Linked DNA regions of Arabidopsis thaliana. The protein of the gene in region 1 interacts with the protein of each later gene in a pairwise test. Each region holds a gene or a part of one and is shown on either strand. Other genes may lie near its edges.

Region 1 (4,940 bases):
TCTAGGAGGTGACATTGCCGGTAAACGAACCATATCGAAGCTATCGTTCCTTCTCAACGAACCCGACATAGACAACGACCTGATTGATTTCGGATCCATCGATATCTCTCTCTCGGATTGCATCATACTCGTTTGCTTGACTAGAATCTTCTTCTTTGAATCGTTTCTGCTTAGAACTTGCCAATCCTCGCGAGCACTTTCGTCTCTGAAACTAATAGTTGGCATAAGTACTGCAGCCACCATTTTATTTTCCGACCTGAAATCTCGATCTGTAAGAAGAGAAATTGACAAATGGCTAAGTCTTAGTGCTAAAGAGAAGATGAATACTTATACAGAGCCACAGAGAGTAAGCATGGACCGCACGTTTGGTGGCTTAAGGTAGCTACACTGAGTCATGATATGCACGTCCAGCTTTTTTTTCGTTTCCTGCGTATTAGTCTCAGCCAAAGGTTATTGACTTTATTACTATAAACATAAACAAATAATATAAGCTTTAAAATATTTAACATCGTTGACATGAGACTATGCCCAAGATTGAGACAGGATCTGATCATGATAGATATGCTCGCACGAACCACATTTATTTTAATATTACCGAAGGTTTTGGAGTACTTTACCTGGAATTTGTGCAGACCACAAGCCGTTGTATAAGGAAGAAGATGATTAAATAATTGAAAAACTCATTTCATGTTCTTAAGTTACAAAACATCAATGATGGGTCATTGGTGGTGGTGTGTATAACAACTAAATGGATTTGACTCTACTGTAGGGAATTGTAAAACAAAATTAATACAACAGAGATACCAATGATAACTGGTAAAGCTGAGACGAAGTACAACGCTCCATAGCCCTGCAAACGGATTAAGAACAAAAGGCAGGAGAAATATCAATCAGATTTCAAAAAGTCAAATACGGAACGCTTAAAATGTTGTGAAAGAATAACGATTTCCAGGTCAAAGCTGTGAAAGTGTTTGAGAGTGATATGGGAACAAACCGCGACTTTGGTTACTACTCCTTGTTCATCATCGACATCGACTTCTTCAATTGCAGCAGCTGAATCCCATTCGACGTTGAGTCTCTTGGCTGCTTCTTTTGGATCTATTCCAGTGTCTGTGGATTTAGCGTACATTGACTTTCCTCGTTGCTTCTTTGAAACCTCAACCTTATAAGATAAATAAGATAAGGTGTTAAGATAGGGCTTTAAAACAGAGTTCTGCTTAGCTAACTAACTAAATGTATATAGCCGTCACCAGAGTTACACAAAAGAAAAGAGATCTCTTCCATTATAGTTTCTAGCATCAATAGGAACCATTACGGATTATGGATTTAAATTGCCTAAGGAGAGATGTCATTATAGATTTATATTGCCTAAGGCAGTTTCTTCCTATCAGTCCCACCAATAGGCAACAAAAAACAATTGTGAGGTACAAAGAAGAGGTACCTCTAAATTTGGCCAACGGATCATTTCCTCATGCAGCATCCGAAGAGTTGCACGATCTTTAGGGATTTTCCCATCATTTACCTGTGTAAAGCAATCAATTCATTTTTAAGGATCTTCATACTAATGCCACTTAATAACCCCATGTCGCTACAAAGAGCAAACTGCTCAACTTGGTGTTGTCAAGTGAGATTTCTATCACAAGCACAGTTACGCCTTGGAACAGTTTTGCATACTTAGCTTATATATTAGACTAGCCATCACAATGTTACTTGAAACCAGATATGTGACAGATCTAAGTATGAAAGCAACTCAACAAAAGGTTGGTTGAGCAGTGTTTCCATGTAAAGACTGTAATAAGCTGTACAACACTCTTACTCAACAGTAACCAACTGATTTACAACAGCATTCTGTAGACCCTCCTTGAGCCATATATGAGTTCATTTTCACCCTCAGCAGAAAACTGATGTCTATATGGCTCATGTACCAGTCACACAACACACTTAAGTTTACTATTAAGGTAATGGCAGACTCAAGATAATAATATATATCACCTGTTCCAAGGCTTCAGCCAAATCATCTCTGCTTGGAGTATCTGCATCTTCTATTCCAAGAAGCCTCCTTCTTTCCAGTTCCCTTGGATCCTCAATCATAATAGTCAACTTAACCTATAATATGCAAACACACACAAAGCTCGGGCTTAATCAAAACCAATACTAAAAACCAACACAGAACCATGAAAATGTAGCTTACCTCACTGAAGATCATATCTCTATTCCTCCTAAGAAGCTCAATTACCTAAACACACACAAAATACTTCAGTACAATCTGATTCAACTATCTACAATTTCACTCAGCCAAAGGAATCACGAACCCGTTTGATTTCATTGACGTATTTGAGATCTTCAGGATCTACATCTCCTTCATCGATTTCATCTTCTTCATCATCTCGATTTTGTTTCTCCTTCTCTTGTTGCTCCAAAGTTAACGGAACCGGAACTCGAATCTCCGTCACGTCTCCTTTCTCCTGCTTAACTATTAAACTACCAAATCTCCGATTGTTCTTCCTCCGCTTCACCCAAAGACCATCGGAAATTCCATTACTCTTACAAATTACAATCGGAGACGGCGAAGAAGAAGCACCGTAATTCCGTTGGCCGGTGGAAGAAAAACTCGAAGCACAGTACTTTAACGGCAACTGAAATATCTGCGTCGTCATTTCTTCAAAAAAAAATGTGAAATTCGTTTCTACAATTTCACAGATTCTGCATCTCTGAAGATATAGTTTCGATTGAAATTTCCAGAGGAAGAAGACGATCAAAATCTCAACTTTGCCACTTTTAATCTTAAGAAAGGGAGATTGAAAATTTGAATTTTTATAGATTGGAGAATAATACGAGTGGCTGAGACATGTAGATAGCCTCCGAACAACTGCTACTTGGATAATACTATAAAATTACTATTGTGTTTTCCATATTTAGGATTCCCCATATTTAAGGGGTTTTGCATCGAACTTGCCAATTTTTTTCTTTTTTTCTTTTATCTCTAAAAGAATACATACTCATTTTATGAAATCAAAAATAATAAATAATATAACTTTTATATTTTGCATTCATGATTTTAATATCTCAAAAAAAACTAATAATTTTAATTATTTTAATATAATATTCAATATAGAGTGTTATTTCATCAACTATTTGTTTAAATATTTGATTCTTAAAGTACAATTAATTTATCAATTCTAGAATACTGAAACTTGAAATATTGGAAATGTTTCATTTAATATAGTGTCCACAAAATTTTTACATTTGAATCACTATTTTAGTATTCAAGTTTGATAACCAAACAATATTTATAACAGAACGATAAATTGTTACTCAAACAAACTACACATCGTGCATATATTAACCTAGTTGGTTAATATAATGTAATGATGCATGTTTCATCAATTCCTTTTCTTTTCGCTCAATAACTTTCTGAACCATTTTGCCGATTTCTTTGGATATCTCTTACGTCCATCGTTGAAATCCACGTAAACTAGTCCAAATCGGACTGAGTAGCCCGTTGCCCATTCAAAATTATCTAGCAAAGACCACGCAAAGAATCCTTTAACATTGGCTCCAATTGATATAGCGTCTTGAACCATCTTCAAATGTTGAGCGTAGTAATCGATCCTCTCACTATCTTTAAGGTCGATTTTACCGGTACTAGCTTCATCTCTACCATTCTCTGTTATATACATGACAGGATCCTTGAACTTGTATTTTGCATAGAGAAGGAGATCACGAATTCCTTTTGGATATATCAAAAGCCAATCTGATGCTGCCTTTGGACCGATAGGCACTCCTTCTCTTTCACCTGTGACGCTAGCACAAGGATCAGAGAATAATGTAACGTTTTCGCTTGAGCAAGGAACATCCTTAGCGTAAGAAGATGAGTAATAATTGATGCCAATGAAATCATATGATCCTTTCAACATCTTAGATTGTTTTGCAGTAAATGTAGGTAAGCGACCGTCTTTTACGTTGTTGACCATGTCAACCGGATATTTACCGGTTACAAGCGGCTCCATGAAATAGTCGAATGTGAAGGCCATGGCTCGTGCCGCAGCTAATCTATCTTCAGCTGATTCGGTATAAGGCAAGTTCCAACCCGCGTTCAAAGCGATACCAACTTGACCTTTTTGAGATGCCTTATATTTTTCTCTATATACTTTGACTGCTTCTCCATGAGCAAGAATGAGGTTGTGACCAACAATATAAGGCTCGGTAGCTCCATTTCCCGCGGTGCAATTAGGGTTTGTGAATTTTGAACACCTTCCAGGAGCCATTACACCAGCAACATATCCTTGTTGCACAACTGTTAATGGTTCGTTCAATGTCATCCAATGCTTCACTCGATCTCCAAAATTCTTGAAGCAAATATCCGCATAATCGCGGAAGTCATTCACAATCTCCGCGCCAAAGAATCCTCCGTAAGCATCTTCAAGGCTTTGCGGTGTGTCCCAATGAAAAATGGTGGCGAATGGCTTAATTCCTTTAGACAAAAGCTCATTGATCAAGTTGTTGTAATAGTCAATACCAGCTTGGTTGATACCTCCTTTTAGATTCCCACGTGGCAAGATCCTCGACCACGAGATAGAGAATCTATAGGCACCGAAACCAATTTGATGTAGTAAACCCACATCTTCCTTGTAAAGATGGTAAGAATCACTTGCAATAGATCCATTGGTACCATCTTTTATCTTCTCCGGATATTTTTCAGAGAATGTATCCCAAATACTTGGACCTCTACCATCTTCATGAGCAGCTCCTTCGACTTGGTAAGCTGACGTTGCAGCTCCAAAAATAAAATCTTTTGGAAAATCACTTCTTCTTAATTTAGGTGTTGAAGAGTGTTTCTTGGCTATAACTTCATTAGAAGCCAAGACAATAATAAACACTAGCAAAGAAAAATATTTAGTTCTCATTTTTATGATTGATTGTTGAAACTTGGTTTGTTG
Region 2 (5,992 bases), on another chromosome or scaffold:
AGCCGTGCTCGATGTAAACATGACGACGTCGAGCCCACATTTACACTTAACAGGAAACCCACGGCTCTTGAAACCTCCAGCTTCAGCATTCGAAATCATTCCTGAATTGCAGCCTCCACTTTCACCACTCGAATTCCTTGAGTTGCAGCTCATAATGCAGATTTGATCGAAAAATTTGAGAGAAAATGATTTTTAGGGTTTGGGTTTTGATTTGGGGATTTTTCAGAGGTTTCGTCGACTTTGAAGTCTGTTGATAGCACAAAACGTCGTCGTATCACCTTAACGGATGTTCTGTAACGTCTGTCAATTACGCTGTTAGAAGGAATTTTAACGGTGGTTAATTAGGCCGAGTCAACGCAAACTTGAATGTTAAAACAGAAGTCAACTTTTTGTTGAAAGTTAAAACGGCCATTTCACGAGTTCACGGTTAATTTGACCATTTTTTGTAAGTTGAGGTATTAAATAACATTTTTCCCACTAAATTATAGAGTTAACATTATTAACCATAAACATAATCACTTTCACTGGACTGGACTCGAGCAGAAGAAGAAGATTGGTAACAAGTCAACGTCGGTGGTTGAAGACAGATTGAACCGGTACAGCCATACCGGTTTTAATTTATCATTAAGTATGGTTTTTTCCTTTTCTTACCAATGGGCCTAAAGGGACAATTGCTTAATTGGCCCAATATACCTAACAATTCTATTCACTATTGTCTGTGTATTCTCTCTGTCACTTCTGTTTTCATCAAGTTACTACACCAGAGTATTTACATAAATTGACAAATTAACCTGTGAGCTCTAGGAGAAGTACAATTTGAAAACCATACGGTTCTATTTTTCAAATCCAAACCATTATCCTCAATTCATATATACTATACAAAGTAGTTCCAACGAAGCTACAATATGTATGTAATTGTGAAACCAAACTTATGTTATCTGCTTTTACAAGCACAAACCATGAGGTGCTAAATGAGTAAATTCAGACGAAGAGCACTAGACAAAAGGAGACTACTCTTGATGCTGAAGAGAGAGAGACACAAGGAGAGATTATACGAAAACCAGGTCGAGGTTTGTTGCATAGAAATCACAGTTGAAGCAGAGGCAACGCCATTACCACACCGAAAACCGACACTAGCAACAGTATTATCCACGCTGGCAATCCCTGTTTATTGTTCTTTTTCCTCTCCTTCAAGCCACCTTCTGAATCTCCCTTTGTTGGATCGATGGTTTTCTCTGACTCGACTTTGGTATCGCTCTTTTGAGGAGACTCTGGTGTTGTCAGTTGTGTGGTAGCTTGCTCAGCTAGTTGCTGCTGGTTGTACTTCTCTACATACTCTGGAAATAGCTTTCGAAATGCTGGGCTGTCACAAGTAAGAACATTGGATTCAGGTGAAATACCGAAAACATGTAATCTCAGGACTGCATTCATTCCTATATTCGTTATCTAACCAGCTTTTATGACTATCCTAACCACAGATAACTAAACTTAGCTTCTATATGAATCCAGAATTTGAAATTTTTTGATGATGGGAAAATCTTACGTTTTACAATTGAAAGCGAGAGATGACTTAGCCAACCGTTGTTTCTCAATTACAGTAGTGTTAACACTTCCAGTTGTCGGACTGGTATCCATCTGCGCCGCAAGGAAAACGTTTAGAGAAAGCTTGAGAACAGAAAAGAAAAAATAGACTTCCTTTTTGAATATTCATATCTAAGCTAATAAACCATTACAATATAAGAATATGAGAATTTTCAAACAAGATGTCCATAAATATGTAGAACCTACAGTGAGCTTACCATAAATGAGAGAAGTCCTGTAAGTATGCTGCATTCATGAAAAAAAGTTGGTTATCAACGGGTATATCGATTGTCATCTTCCAAAAGTAAAGAAAGAATCTATACCTTGATACAGACCACATCGGATTCCAGCTTTCTGGATGAACTGTAAATGCCATGTCAACTTATTTCGATATTAGACAAGTTAATTGATACGAAATAATGAACAGAAAGTGCAGATTGTCCTTACAATCACTCATAGATAAACAAATTTTCTTCTGTGTCATGAATCGACCATTTGGTGTAGTCATTCTGAGGCAAACAGAAAAAGATTTGGTTCATTAAAAAACTGGACAAAAAATGAGGTAAGAGTAATGTTGAGACTGAATTTGGAGGAACCATTGGAACATACGTAATCCCTGGTGGCTTGTAAGGATACTCGGGAGGAAACTTGATCTTTCCATAGTAAAATCCACCTGGTAAAGAGAATTTTAGTATCAAAAATAAGATACTGCGTAAGACAACACTAACAAGAAACTTTCAAAAGAAGATTTTCACCTGCAAAAGGTGTTCCCTCACTGCCTTCCAGCACATAATCTGTAAGATTAATCCAATAGTTTAACTCTATTTTAGTAAGAGATCAAGCTACCCTTTTTAACATACTAAATGCAGTAATAATAGAAAGACTGAAACTCCCTAACCGCTATCAGGCTAACAGTAACACTGACAGCCTTTCACAATTGAGAAGAAAACTATCAAATCTATGCATTGTAAGTACATATAAACCTTTGATAAATAAGTCTTCACTATTCCATCAAAGTAATGTGAGACCTCTTCTGTCTACTTAGATCGTAGTATCCCATTTTTTCTTAGTTTAACGTATACTCACAAGTGTAGCAAATATGTCCATCATATATACTTATCATAACATCTTTATAGAAACGCTTGCAACAGGATTACAGGAAGCCAGCAGGAATAAAGATTAAGAAAAAAAGATAGGGAAGGCTTACGCCACTCGAGAATGTCATTTGGGGAAGGACGAGCAACAACATGGGAGACTGGTTCCTAAAGGCCAAAAACAGAACATATTAAATAACCCCCAAAGAAACAAAAGAAAATATGAAACTTACTCTAAACCAAAACCAAGAAAACATTCACATATAGATACAGCATCATTTGAAAGTACAGAGAAAACTGGTTGAGCAATAAAAATATGGAATCCTGGTTCCAGCTCGAGAGAGGTAGAAAAACAAGTAAAGAGAGTGTACCTTGCAAAGTGCTCTATATTCCTTTTGAAGACGTTTTATACAGGCCTTTTCTGCCATCTACGTGCTATGGACGAAGTGAATAGCTGCAGCAGCTGTTACACCCATTTAACATTATCAACAAAACGAAATACAAATATGAGTGAAAGTCCACCTACTGATGAGATGGACTACATAAAACCCTTATGTCTGAATTACATATATGAACTACATAAAAACATATATCGAAACGAGTAAATTGCAGTTGATTTTCGTGCCATTGATATGGAAACTTTACCAATTGTACTATCTCACAACACATATACAGAGATAACAATACTTCTAGCTATTATGCAATACTTTCATGACCTGATTGAAAAGAAAAACCAACCAAATACACACAAGATCAAATGAAACTTGAGTCAAACAACTCTATGATCACCAGAAACACCCTTTGAATAAAAATCCCCAATTTCCATGAGCTTGGAAAAATCTTTTCACCCAAATCACTGCAAACCAATTGAAAGCAACGAAAATTCAATCGAATTCCAACCAAATTAAAGGAAATTATCTGGAAATCCCTGGAATTATATATCAACCTAGAAAATCCTTTGATTGAACCGAGAAAATTGCAACAATGATAGGCAAACCAAACTCGAATCAGCTGCAATATCTTCCATAAATATATAAGAAAATCACAGATACTTCCACATAAACCGTATCAAAGCAAAGTCTTAAACTTGTTAGAGATTCCAATTGCAATTTCAAGCTTCGCTCTTACCCAGAAACGCAAAGGAACAAGAACAACAAATCAAAAGATAATGCAGCGAAGAAATTCCAAAGTAGATAACATCAGATCCAAGAAATAATTGCGAAAATATGAAAGAAATTGATCACCTGAATCGAATTTTGTCGATGAAGATTTTCTCTCTTGGGGTTTCTCGTTAATCTCACTTTCTCCTTCTCCGCGGGTAGAGAGAGAAAGAATTAGCCTAACTCGCGCTTGGTTTATCTAAACCGAACAAAATTCAACACAAGTTAGACCGGTATTGTATAATCCATTCCGGTTCGTTATTAGAGGATCAATGATTTAATAATTATTTTGCGTAATGCACTTTTCCCTATTTCTTTATTCTCCACCACTCATCAAAGAATCTGTGCCGGTTCTTGGAATCAATTTTTCCTTCTCTTCATGAAATATAAAAAAAATAGCTGCAGAAGAAGAAAAAAAACTAGTGATTAGTAGTGAGACAAAACAGCTGTTACCTGCAATTTTTTCTTTTCTGAAATTGGACTTACACTAATACCTCCAAATTCCAAAGTTATGCTTAAAAAATAATTTCAATAAAGTTAAGTTTCAGCCTCTTTTGAGTTCCCCGATAACAGTAGGCAGAAATCACGTGCTCTAATCACATGACCACCATCTCTTAGTTTCAAAGCAGTTACATGAGTTAGGTAATGTGAATATGTGGATCTTTGTCTCTACATATGATATTGTATCATTGTTTCAATGTAGATGCTTGAGGAATATCATCATCATCGTAAGTAAATGATTAAGAATAAGATAAGTATCTCACCATCTGATTAAATAGCATTAGTCAAAGTAAGATCACGTGATCAGATCCCAATAACTATGTGTTCAAACACACATAAATCTTATTCTATAAAACCAACAAGCTTTAGAAGTCTCTCGTCTCTCTTTTCTCTAACACACATCTCCATCCAAGATTTTCTCAGTTCACAGAAAAACAGAACAAGAAAAAGTCAAGAGGTTTCAAGAGTCCTAAAGGAAATTTCAAGAAGAGAACTCAGAATGAAGAGATGCTGTTCAGTGGCTCTGGTTCTGTTACTTGTAGCTTTCTTTAGCAGCAAGTATAGTGTAGAAGGACGTTCTCTGTTAACGATGACACATTCGAGTCAAGCTGTGAGAGATTTGCCTGTAAGCAAGGAGATGAAGAAAGAGCCACTTAAGGGAGAAAATGATAGCTTCAGAAGAATCCCAAGGAGTGGCTCAAACCCTATACAGAACAAGTAAAGAAGATACGAGACACAATCTAGTTTTTCTTTTTTTTTATGTATCCCCAAAGATGAGTTTTAGGTGTAATTGACATCAAAAAGTGTTTCTTTTTGTATCAGGTGTAATCCACCGGTAGATGTTAAAGCAAGTAGGAAACAACAGCAGATCACAACATCAAGAAAACCTTAAAATTCCAGTTCTTTTTTTGTCCTTATTTAGATCCTCTACTTTCGTTTTTTTTGTAGAATAGGTACCTAGACATGTGTGCTTTTAATGCTGTAATCTACTTGAAATATATGAACTCATCTTTTAATCTTATTGATCGATCAAGATAGGATGAAAATTTAAAACGCCTCCTAGCTCGAGTAGTCTAACTTTCCAAAACTATTCTCAACCTCTTTAATCTTTTGAGTTCTTCTTCTTTTCTCTGCTTTGTGGTTTCTTTTATTTGACTTCAGCAGACTTATCCTCAGCCATAGCATGTTGTTCTCAGTGGTGCTTAAAACCTTAAATATAAAATGATCAACCTCTTTATCTATGTTCTCGGTTCTATATGCTTCAAAAATGCATCCTCAGATCCGTAAAAAATTGAAAGTTGTTCTGCAGGAAACCTCACAATATCCTGACTATTTAGCTGCCTATCTCGATATCCAGTGATTACTCCTCACTGCAAAACAGCAACAATGAAAGAAGTAATCACAGCTGTGAGCACTAGATTCCTTTTGACATGTAAGTTTGTACTTCTCTAAAACACCGATACAGATTGTTGAGATTGTTTACAAACTTTTGGACCAAGAAGAAACAAAGTGGCATCCAACACATTACTCAAAAATGACGTCGTTTTGCTGATCCCATGTATAATAATATTACTGTTATTAGGAAACGCTGAGAAAACCGCCGCCAAAATGACGTCGTTTTGCTGATCCCATGTATAATATGATGAATTTTTCCCA
Region 3 (4,294 bases), 2.1 Mb from region 1:
TTTTTTGTTTTTATCATCAGGGAAGTGGTCATTAGCCTCTTAACCGGATCTCCACCTGGAACAAAGCTTATGAAGGCTGAGGTATTTGCAGCAGGCAGGACCAAACTTGAACGTGAAATCACCAACAACGAATATATAAAGGTCTTCACTTGAGCTCTCTTTGACTTTTTTTTTGTGTTTCGACCAAAGCGTAGTTTTAGTCTCTAAACTCTGTGTGTTGTGTGACAGGTGATGCACGAGATCTGTGAAACCAACTCTTCAGGATGGGTTTTACAGAAAGCTCGATGATGAGTTTATTAAATCATCATGACTAGATTTTAATGGTCTATAAATTTTGATATGAGTAAACGGTTCAGTAGTTATGAGATATTCATATTTTGTTTTTCCTTTTTGAAATCAAACAACCTTTTTTCTATTACTCAACTAGAGTTGGTAAGACAAGCCACACCAACACAGGAAAATAAACATAAGAAGCAACAAAAGAACTATACAATACACATAGACGGCTAAGTTCAAACTTGACAGAGAGTGTTCTAATGTTCTCTATTGAAATCTTAAGCATATTCGAATATATTTTACATGCAAGAATGTAAAAAAAAAAGAAAACAACAATGTGAACACATGAAATTGGAAGAAAGTGTAAATACTTGAAACTTTTCAATCTAAAGGTTTTCACAGTTTGATGTGATCTCAAATAACAAAAAAAGGTAATACGAACTCATAAACTGTTGTTCAAAAAGGGAACAAGAGAAACATTGTCAATCTAATTCAGTTTAGATGAAGAGGCTGCAAAACCCGAACTCAATCTTGTGTGCCGTTTCACCATCCTCATCTGGAGCAGAAGTTCCCTCAGAATATGTGCACCAAGTCATACGCAAATCTACTCCATTGTTAAGGAAACCTACTGAGACAAACAGAGAATAGAGAGAGCTGTTTTCGAGTTGCGCATATACTTGATTCTACACGAAGTAAACAAAAAGGCCATTTCTATGTTAATCACAGGTTCTTAAGAAGCTAATCATTTTTACCTACACCATACCATAGATGTTTTTCCATAAAGCTAATCAACCTTTGATTTAGTTTTGCACATTATCATAAAATGAGTATGACCACCAAATTGAGTTTAAGGATACGTCCAGAACAGCACAAACGACTGCGAAAAAGAAAACAACACCGCGATTAGTATGAGATTAACAGGTTGGATCAACAACATGTATCTTGAAGCAACAAACAATGTAATAAGAAAAGGAAATGAAGATATACCATAAGGCCACCAAGAAAACCGTCAAAAAGAACCCGATTCCACGAATCAAAGTACAAGTCAGCTGAGAATCCTGCCTTAGCCATGAGCCCAACAGATGTGATCAACATCACCACAAAGTAAAATACAAAACCAATCAAGCCATTGAATCCAATTATTCCTGCTAAGACACCAGCTATGATAGACAGAAACGTCCGGCTGCAAACACGAACAAAATGAGGGATAACAAGTCAAAAAACCCGAGAACCATCATCTTTTTAAGAAAACGAAAGAGAGAGAATTGTATTGAATCAGACCTGTTTTGAATGACTTTCAAATTGTTCTGCAAATTCTCTGCACTGAAAGTTGGTATGTCACTCATGATATCCTTTGATCTCTTCTCAGATGAACCCATTTAAGATAACAACAATCTGAAACAACATAAATTTCAAATCTTTGTATTGGATTTTACATTACAGTAACAAAAAAGGAAGAACTTGGACATCATAGAGTAAGTGTATAGATTACAAACCCAAAAAAGTATTGATTTTAAGCAAATTTCCACAGGAAAATTAGGGGTTTCTAATTGATTCAATGATTCTATAACTGGGTTTCGCTATCTAAGCATCACAATAAATTTCGATTCCTAAAGGTTAAGACTTTATGATTATCTCTTAAGTAGTCGAGAGTGGGAGCAACTATGATTAATCGATCTGGTTTTATCGATCTCTTCCGATCTACTACTTTGAGATCTACACAAACTTTGGAAAAGGAATTGATATAGACTTACAATTAGAAACGAGAGTAGTAAGAGGAAGATCGAAGTAGCTTGCTTTGGTACTTGGGATGAATTGAATGGAGAGGATGAGCCAATTTGAGAGAGAACAATCAGACGAATATCTTTAAGTTCTTTAGAGTGTTTTTAGACAAAAGAAAAACACAGAGAAAACAAGTAATATATAAACCGTAAAATCGAACCGGAACCAAACCTTAAACCGGATTGTCCACTACTAATCAAAATTAACAACACTCTCCAACTATGCTAGTTAAATTTCTTGATATTGAAACGGATAACATGATTATACATCACAATTTGTGATTATGAAAATTCGTTACTTACTACTAAAGATGAGCAGTTCAGTTTGTTCCAAGTTTTGGTTTTATAAAACCATCGCTATTACATTCAAACTGAAATTAATTCGGTTTGGTTTTGTTTGCTTAGGAGGTTTTAATATGTTTAACAAAACACTTAACCAATGCATTAGTAAGTACGGTAAATGGTTATATATGGAGTAGCGGTAAAAAAAAAACTTAGGTGCTTTTCGTTTGGTTTGGTTCCAGATTGATTTATGCAAATTTCAGTTTTGGTTAAACTTAAACCGAATGTAGACAAAATCATTCGTCGTATTCGTATCTAGCTTCAATATCAACTAAAACCAAAATAGCATTCCAGATCTCGATTCCAACAATCTCAGTAATGATAAAAATTAATTATTGCTACAATGCATCAGTCTGTAACAACAGAATCATTAGAGCGACGCTGATGATGAGGATGACGATACTCAGCTCGGATTTTAGATTCTAGGACAGAGACATATCGATCTAGAACAGAGATCACAGCTTCAAACTCCGACACTTGTTTCTCGATAGCATCCATTTGTCCTACAAATTCATCCAAGCCACCACTTTTTGATTTCATCTGTTCTGCGAAAACTCTGAGCCCAGCTGCCACGTCACCCATATCATCGTACTCTGACGCAACTCTCAGGTTCATCTTCTCCAATAGATCTAGATGGTTGTTCGTTCCCTATTTTTATCCAATTCAATTTCAGATCTGTGGAAACAAATAAATCTGTAAAATTTCGGATTGATTTTCACCTGGAGCTCGGATTTGACCATAGATGAAACACTCGTGAATAGATTTTGTAGCGATTCAGCTAGATCATCTCGTGAATCCGCCATTGATGAGGATATTTACTTCTTTTCGCAAAGACAAAGACAAAGACAAATAAACAATGGCTCTTCTGTTGTTTAGGGCACTTTCCATATTTGTTGAATTAGTGATATTTAGGTTAAGCTACACGTGGAGGCTTATTATTCGTTGATATCAACTATTGTCCATGTCTGTAAGCCTCTCCCTACGACAGAGGTTTTCAGAGCAGTAACAAACAACTTACACATGAGAGTTAACATTGCACAGTCTGAGATTATACTCGCTAGATTCTTTTCAAGTCTTGAAGAACAACATGTGCAGCGTTTCTTCCAGGTGCACCCATAACTCCGCCTCCAGGATGAGCTCCGCTGCCACACAAGTAGAGACCTTTCAAAGGGCTTCTGTAATTTGACCTGTTTCACACAGTCCAACAAAGTTTTGAATTTCATAATCATAAATCGTAAAGACTGTTTTGAGTACTTCGGAGTCACGTACCATCCTTTCACAGGGCGCATCAGGAAGAGAGAGTCTAATCCCATGGCACCGTGAAAGATGTTTCCGCCTGCAGAATACAAATGGGCAGTCATGTCAATATGGTTTGGCCATGTCGCATGTACTTGGGATCTTTCTCCAAGTACTTCACTTTATATACCTGTTAGACCAATTTCCCGTTCCAGGTCCGGAGGAGTCAACATGTCGTAGCTAATGATGGATGAGCTAAACCCGGGTGCATATTCATCAATCAGTTTGAAACACCTTTGTGCAAAGGCTTCCTGATTTTTACACAAGCAAAAGCAAATCCAGATGGGTTTGGCATGTCTTGTAGTGTAAAGGAATGTTTAGCCAAGCGTGTATAACAAACTAACTCGGTAAGTAGGATCTTCCCAGCTTCCATCTGAGGGCTTGTAAGGAGTGTACTGGATGAACAAGTTGATTACATGCTTCCCTACATACAAAATCACATTCAGAGTTCAAATCCTAAACAAGCAAAAGGGGGAGAATGTGTACCTGGGGGAGAAATGGTGTTGTCTAGTGTGGATGGAATAGTCATTTCGATCACTGGTCTTCTCGATGGTAAGCCATTTTCAGAATCATGACATGCTGAGTGAACCTCGTCCATG
Region 4 (5,552 bases), on another chromosome or scaffold:
TACAATTACAAATTCTATACGTAATTTGGAGTGAGACTCACTTTGGGATCTTATCCGAAGAACCATTCTCCGGTTGCCTGAAAAATTCAACCTTAACACCCTAAGCTTCAATATCCGTGGTGAAAGGAAAAACCCAGAAATGATAAAGATGTAAAAGAGCTGTCAGATAAAAAAACTAACGCAATAGGGACGTTTAAGACCGTGCTGGCCGAGGTCAAGCACCGGAGCTTGGGGACGAAGCAGCGATGCGACGGTTGTGTCGCCAGAAGCTTCTTACCTAACAGAGAAGACGTTAGAGGAATCCGAGAAGAAGACGAGGGAGATCCATTCTGTCTCGAAACAAAGATCCGAGGATTAGAGAGCGTCAAAGGGATAAAGGAGACTGTGTACGACGCCATTTTCACTCTTGAGGAATCAAAAGCTTTTGGTCGGGCTTTGGGTGAGTCAGTGAGATAGGCGATTATTACTCAGCTATTTTGCAAATGCGCCCCCCCCAGTTTATATAATTTATGAAATTTCGACTAGTATGAATAAACTTGAACTCATAACTCCCAAATCTTAAATTTCAATCTCAGGACAAACGAACCAACAAGTATAGTGGAACAAATTCTAATCCTAACTCACCGTGCCTAGCACAAATCTACAAGTGAGTTTATCTTTGAGTTTATCAGTAACCAAGAATCAGATTAATAGTATAAGTCGTGTAATATGCTCTCTCATCCTTTGAGTTTCAAACCAAGTCAAGTTGATGAGCTTTTCCTGTCTCTCCTTATGAGCTCCAAGACCATTTCGTTCCATGTATCGACTGGTCCTGGCATGCACCAGTGCAAGCAGTCCTGAGGTGGAGGCCGTCCGTCTGGTCCCCGTTTAGTGATCTTGTTAGGGTCAGGACTTCTGAATGGACCAGGATGACCATCATGGCGATATCCAAATGCCTCTGTGATATCCATCAGCTTTAGTTTTAGCTTCAAATTCTCCGCGACTTTATCGACGGCTTGGTTATATCCTGTCGCTTGCTTCTCATGCATTATCTCTGTGAATCCGTTTTTCACTAGCTTCCCTGGAAGGATGGGTTCTTCTTTCCCCGTGCATGATCCACCTGTGTTCCAAGCACCACCTTCGTAATGATCAGGTGAGAATGTTCTCACAATGGTCAAACCGCTGTAGTTCGGGTGTGTAGCCATGGACTTAAGGATTGTTTCAACTGATATTCCAAATGCATCCACGTTATTGACTTTCATGGGTTTTGATTTGTCTGGCCACCATAATTGGCCTCCCACGATCTCTTCTTTCAATATGTAGACAGACTGCTTTGCAAACCAGTGCCCTGATGAGAGGACAACCACGTCGAATTTCGGGATAGCTTCCATTATGCGCTCATCAGGAAGATCCAGCTTTAGTTTTGTGACACCTTCAGGAGCATAATCGAATTTTTCGTTGAACTGATGAACAAGCCAAGATGACCAAATACGGGCAATCATTACTGATGATTGCTTAAAATACCATCTCTGCATCTTTCGGCTCCCACGATTGACTGGTGTTTCAACCTGAAAACAGAAACCTACTTTAATATAATACATACGATCTCCTGAAGCTGAATAAAGCAACACAATAGATCCCTTATACCGGTTTTCACCATTAAATTGAATTACTTGCCTGCCAAAGAAGGCACAACATGGACTCCATCTGATTACGAGCTACTGAATCTCCTATAAAGGCCAGTGTCTTGCCTTTCATAAGTTCAAGAAATTTTCTGGCATCAAACCGAGGAAGCTCACACTGAGACGGTTTCCATCTCCAGTTCTCATATCCCTTGTCAGGTCTTCCATTTCCCTGGCAATTCTGCATCTGCGTCAGGACAGGGCAAGAGTTGTTCGTGTAGAGAGGTCCCCCAGGATCATAAAACCAACTACCTTGATACAAATCACACTCTACAAGCAATCAAAGATTTGAGTAAGCGACAAACTCATAACAGAAATATAAAACATCGAACAGCTAGAATCATGAGAAGCAAGGGAAACTGACAAGAACAGATCTATGAAACTGCTCTTCTTATTCCAATTCACCAAAACAGGTAGAACTCTCAACCAAATGCCCACAAAGCCTAGAAACTCTAACCCCTAAAACAAAATGCTGAGACCACCTTACAAGCCCAGCACTCACTATCTGCTCCCTAACCAAGTTTTTACTCTAATCTGCTATATTCAGTCCTCGGCTAGAATAATTACAGTAGGTCTATAGCTAAGAGTTTAGCCGCTGAATTTCTTTAAAACTTCTCAGAAACTTACGCCTTTCCATAGAAATGCAAAACTAAATGTTCTATAACATTCCCACACTAGCTTAGTCTTTGTTTATTGAAATTTAAGCTACCATAACTCAAAATGTTCCAAATACGACAAAAGCTACGGAAATAAGCGTTTAAAAGATAACAACAGTACCTGGTTCTGCTGAAGCAGTTTCAGAGACATCATCTGGAGGAGATGATGCACTTGGAGTGTCTTCAGCCTTGGAAACATTGGTTTCACGTTCACCTGATTGAACATCAGTCTTTTCAGTTATATCCGAAGAAACCAAATCCTCTTTTTCTTGTGTCAAAGGTGTCTCCAACTTCCTATCACTACTGAAATCTGGAGGTGGTATACTTTTGCTAACAACAACAGGTAAGCCAGAGCTAGAATCAGAAGTCAGATTTTTATCAAACGCATTGATGTCACTACTCTTCTGAAGGATATTGACAGTATGGTTGCTCAAAGATAAAGGGACATGAACTTGTTCAGGATTCCCTATCCCATAAAATATGCCACCAACTGAAGAACTATTCGGATACGAAAGACGAAGCAACAATCCGAAAACAAAGAATGATGCCAAACCACCAATAGCAATTGCAACTGTAGACACTTTCCGAGGAAATCCAGCCGCAGCTAATATAGAATTATTCCTAGGAGAACCAAAAGCCATGGTTTCTTCACTAGTAGATACCCAGAACCAATACAAGCAACAAGAACCAGAGCTTATAGGTGATAATTCAATATCAACATTATTCAAAATGTTATCTTCAGGGGCATGCAATACGCAAGTGAACTAAGTGAATCTGTTACTTGATTCAATCTTCCACTGGATCACAGATAAGATTTCACCTTCTTCAGGATCTGGAATCTGGAAGAGCAACACTATGAGCAAACATACTTAAAGGCGAAAGAAGAAAACAAGATGATCGATCTAATAAATCATCAAATAGCACAAATCCAGAATATAAATGTGAATCTAACTCAGATTCAGCTCAAATCATTACGTATTCAGATTTTCAGAAAAAAAACAAACAATTTTTCAGAAGATTATCTTCTTCACTAAGCAGATCCAAACGAAGAAGAAGAAGAAAGAGAATCTACGAACCTAGAGAAAATGATCCTTGTTGTCTTCTTGTAGGTGAAGCGAGCTCAGAAGATTCAGAAGAAATCCACAACAGTGAAGACGCGAAATCAAAAAATTAAACAAAGGTTAGTTATAGTTTTATTAGTTAATTGTTTTCCGGAAATAATCAAACGAATTTAGTGGTAATTTATTCCTTAAATTAATCATTTGTTTCTTCTTCCGGAGCCCATTAATGCCGTCTGTGATCTCATCGGCGCGTATACGACCACGCGATGATGTAAAGTTACGAAACTACCCTTCGGTCAACACCACCATAACATTGCGTATATTTCGAATTTTGTAACATTGCTAATATTTCGAATTGTTTGTTTGTCACTTCGCGTTATATGACACAACGATTGTTGTTTTCACATAAAAAAAAAAACCCTACTAGTCATCATCTAATGTAACACTCCAGCATATGACAAAATCGCCGAAATATTATTTATTATTATATAGGTAAAATAGAATTACAATATGCTCTTCTATAGTATATAGTAATCTAAAAAGTTGCATCATAAAATAAATTATTAGAAAAAGATCGAAAATAGGTGATATATCATATCATCATTACAATAGGTGTGAGTCGTCCGTCGCCTCTGACTGGTCCTTCCTTTCGGGCACGATAGCAGGCATAAGCCACTATCAGTGCGATGATGATTAATACACCGACTGAAATTCCAGAAATTGCGATAAACTTCATTGGATCAGTCCCCATGTTTGTTTTACCACACGCACCCAGAAAAAAGTTTATTTCTACTGTTTTTATTTTTTGTCATGTCTTCTTGTGACACAGTATGTTTACATTTATTTACAATTATTTACATTTCTGTTAATAAAGTCCGTGAAATTTGTAAGTTTTACATTTTATTATTTAAGAAAATTAACAAGGATGAACTGGAAAATTACACTTTAAAGAATATTAATTAGGAAGAAATAGAAATTATACATTTTTATGGTACTTTGTTGATCTTCATACCATCAAACTGGAAATTGTACATTTTAATAGAAAATTAACTATGAAAGAATAGAAAATTTACATACGTGAGCATGTAGTAATTTAAGGCTATCACAAAAATTCGACATTTTATTTCAGAATATTCTAAAATTTTGATATTTAGGTAGCACATTATCAAATATTGTAAAATAAAATAATGGCCAGGCTTATACGATTTGAGATTTGATTCGTATCCATGAATGCCATACTCGATGAGTAGTTACTGTTGTGTGTGTATTATAGTTTTTGCTAGTTAATGTTGTTTTTACTCCTACCGCATAAAATGAAATAATGAATCATCTATATATACATTTTTGCAGCCATTTTGTGAAATAAATCTTAGAGTTGGGACTTATTTACTAGGCTGCCATTGAGTATTAATTATTGATTTTTTTCCAGCAATAAATTGATTAATAAACTAAAAATATTCCAAATATATTCAGCAACTATTTAAAACAAAAAATGTTTGACAAACAAAAATATAATTGCAATCCCTTAAAATGAGCAAAACCCACCTAAATATATTCTTTATCTATCCAATAAATCTTTTTTCTCCAAAATTTGAACTAGATTTTGGCAACTATTTTAAACAAATATTTGTTTGACAAACCAAAATACAATTGCAATCCCGTAAAATATTTCTTTTAATTATATATTTAAATTAGCGGTGTACCGCGGTTTTTTTTTACGGGGCGGATTTGGCGAGACGGGTTTGGTAAGACGTTATTTAATAACAATTGTAAACTATAAAATAAAAATAAATAGATTTAATTTGCAAACTTTTATATATACTAATTTAAAAAATAAGTTGTCCGCGGGTTAAAATCTAGTCATGGTTATTTTAATTAGGTGAAATCAGCCTTGGATAATTTTAAAAACTAAAACCAATTGTTTGTAAGTAAAGAATTAATAAATTAGTGTAATTTCTAAGTTTTCAAATTATTATATAAATAAAATAAATAAATATGTATTTATAAGCACAAAAAAAGGAAATGGTGCGTATTCCTGGTACAATAGTTACTTGTCAGATCCCCATTTAAAACATCTCAAATTGGTTGAAAAAAAGTCACCAAAGAAAAACTAGATTAGCATCAAATGTTTTTAAAACTTTTAATTCTTCCATAACTCTTTCTAAGAAATAATT

What was found.
Region 2: the proteins of CEST (region 1) and UBC34 interact in a protein complementation assay, tested with the Arabidopsis thaliana proteins (one large-scale study listed by BioGRID).
Region 3: the proteins of CEST (region 1) and AT5G49540 interact in a protein complementation assay, tested with the Arabidopsis thaliana proteins (one large-scale study listed by BioGRID).
Region 4: the proteins of CEST (region 1) and TBL18 interact in a protein complementation assay, tested with the Arabidopsis thaliana proteins (one large-scale study listed by BioGRID).

The regions. Positions count from the first base shown.
Region 1 is NC_003076.8:18,011,113-18,016,052, reverse strand, and holds CEST (death domain associated protein), read right to left. Parts: upstream 2,905-4,940; 5' UTR 2,658-2,904; coding exon 2,313-2,657; intron 2,237-2,312; coding exon 2,192-2,236; intron 2,107-2,191; coding exon 1,993-2,106; intron 1,523-1,992; coding exon 1,442-1,522; intron 1,163-1,441; coding exon 995-1,162; intron 851-994; coding exon 761-850; 3' UTR 619-760; downstream 1-618. Other genes in the region: AT5G44660 (uncharacterized protein), read right to left, coding at 1-243; BGLU13 (beta glucosidase 13), read right to left, coding at 3,384-4,907. UniProt on the Arabidopsis thaliana protein: Nuclear genome-encoded factor that participates in photosystem I (PSI) biogenesis. Cooperates with the plastid genome-encoded protein PSI assembly Ycf3 in the assembly of stable PSI units in the thylakoid membrane.
Region 2 is NC_003070.9:5,916,060-5,922,051, forward strand, and holds UBC34 (ubiquitin-conjugating enzyme 34), read right to left. Parts: upstream 4,284-5,992; 5' UTR 3,920-4,283; intron 3,918-3,919; exon of another isoform or gene 3,139-3,917; 5' UTR 3,104-3,138; coding exon 3,047-3,103; intron 2,844-3,046; coding exon 2,789-2,843; intron 2,376-2,788; coding exon 2,337-2,375; intron 2,255-2,336; coding exon 2,191-2,254; intron 2,091-2,190; coding exon 2,029-2,090; intron 1,963-2,028; coding exon 1,905-1,962; intron 1,828-1,904; coding exon 1,800-1,827; intron 1,636-1,799; coding exon 1,544-1,635; intron 1,364-1,543; coding exon 1,087-1,363; 3' UTR 773-1,086; downstream 1-772. Other genes in the region: AT1G17285 (uncharacterized protein), read left to right, coding at 4,656-5,053, 5,159-5,228. UniProt on the Arabidopsis thaliana protein: Accepts the ubiquitin from the E1 complex and catalyzes its covalent attachment to other proteins.
Region 3 is NC_003076.8:20,103,955-20,108,248, forward strand, and holds AT5G49540 (Rab5-interacting family protein), read right to left. Parts: upstream 2,325-4,294; 5' UTR 2,031-2,324; intron 1,672-2,030; 5' UTR 1,656-1,671; coding exon 1,558-1,655; intron 1,460-1,557; coding exon 1,264-1,459; intron 1,154-1,263; coding exon 1,134-1,153; coding exon of another isoform or gene 1,124-1,133; exon of another isoform or gene 881-1,123; coding exon 850-880; 3' UTR 527-849; downstream 1-526. Other genes in the region: AT5G49530 (SIN-like family protein), read left to right, coding at 21-141, 229-288; BLOS2 (biogenesis of lysosome organelles complex 1 subunit-like protein), read right to left, coding at 2,748-3,047, 3,119-3,202; AT5G49555 (FAD/NAD(P)-binding oxidoreductase family protein), read right to left, coding at 3,457-3,586, 3,669-3,735, 3,826-3,946, 4,040-4,119, 4,182-4,294.
Region 4 is NC_003075.7:12,967,593-12,973,144, reverse strand, and holds TBL18 (TRICHOME BIREFRINGENCE-LIKE 18), read right to left. Parts: upstream 3,587-5,552; 5' UTR 3,394-3,586; exon of another isoform or gene 3,157-3,393; 5' UTR 2,959-3,156; coding exon 2,439-2,958; intron 1,932-2,438; coding exon 1,657-1,931; intron 1,548-1,656; coding exon 741-1,547; 3' UTR 501-740; downstream 1-500. Other genes in the region: AT4G25370 (Double Clp-N motif protein), read right to left, coding at 42-77, 181-398. UniProt on the Arabidopsis thaliana protein: May act as a bridging protein that binds pectin and other cell wall polysaccharides. Probably involved in maintaining esterification of pectins. May be involved in the specific O-acetylation of cell wall polymers.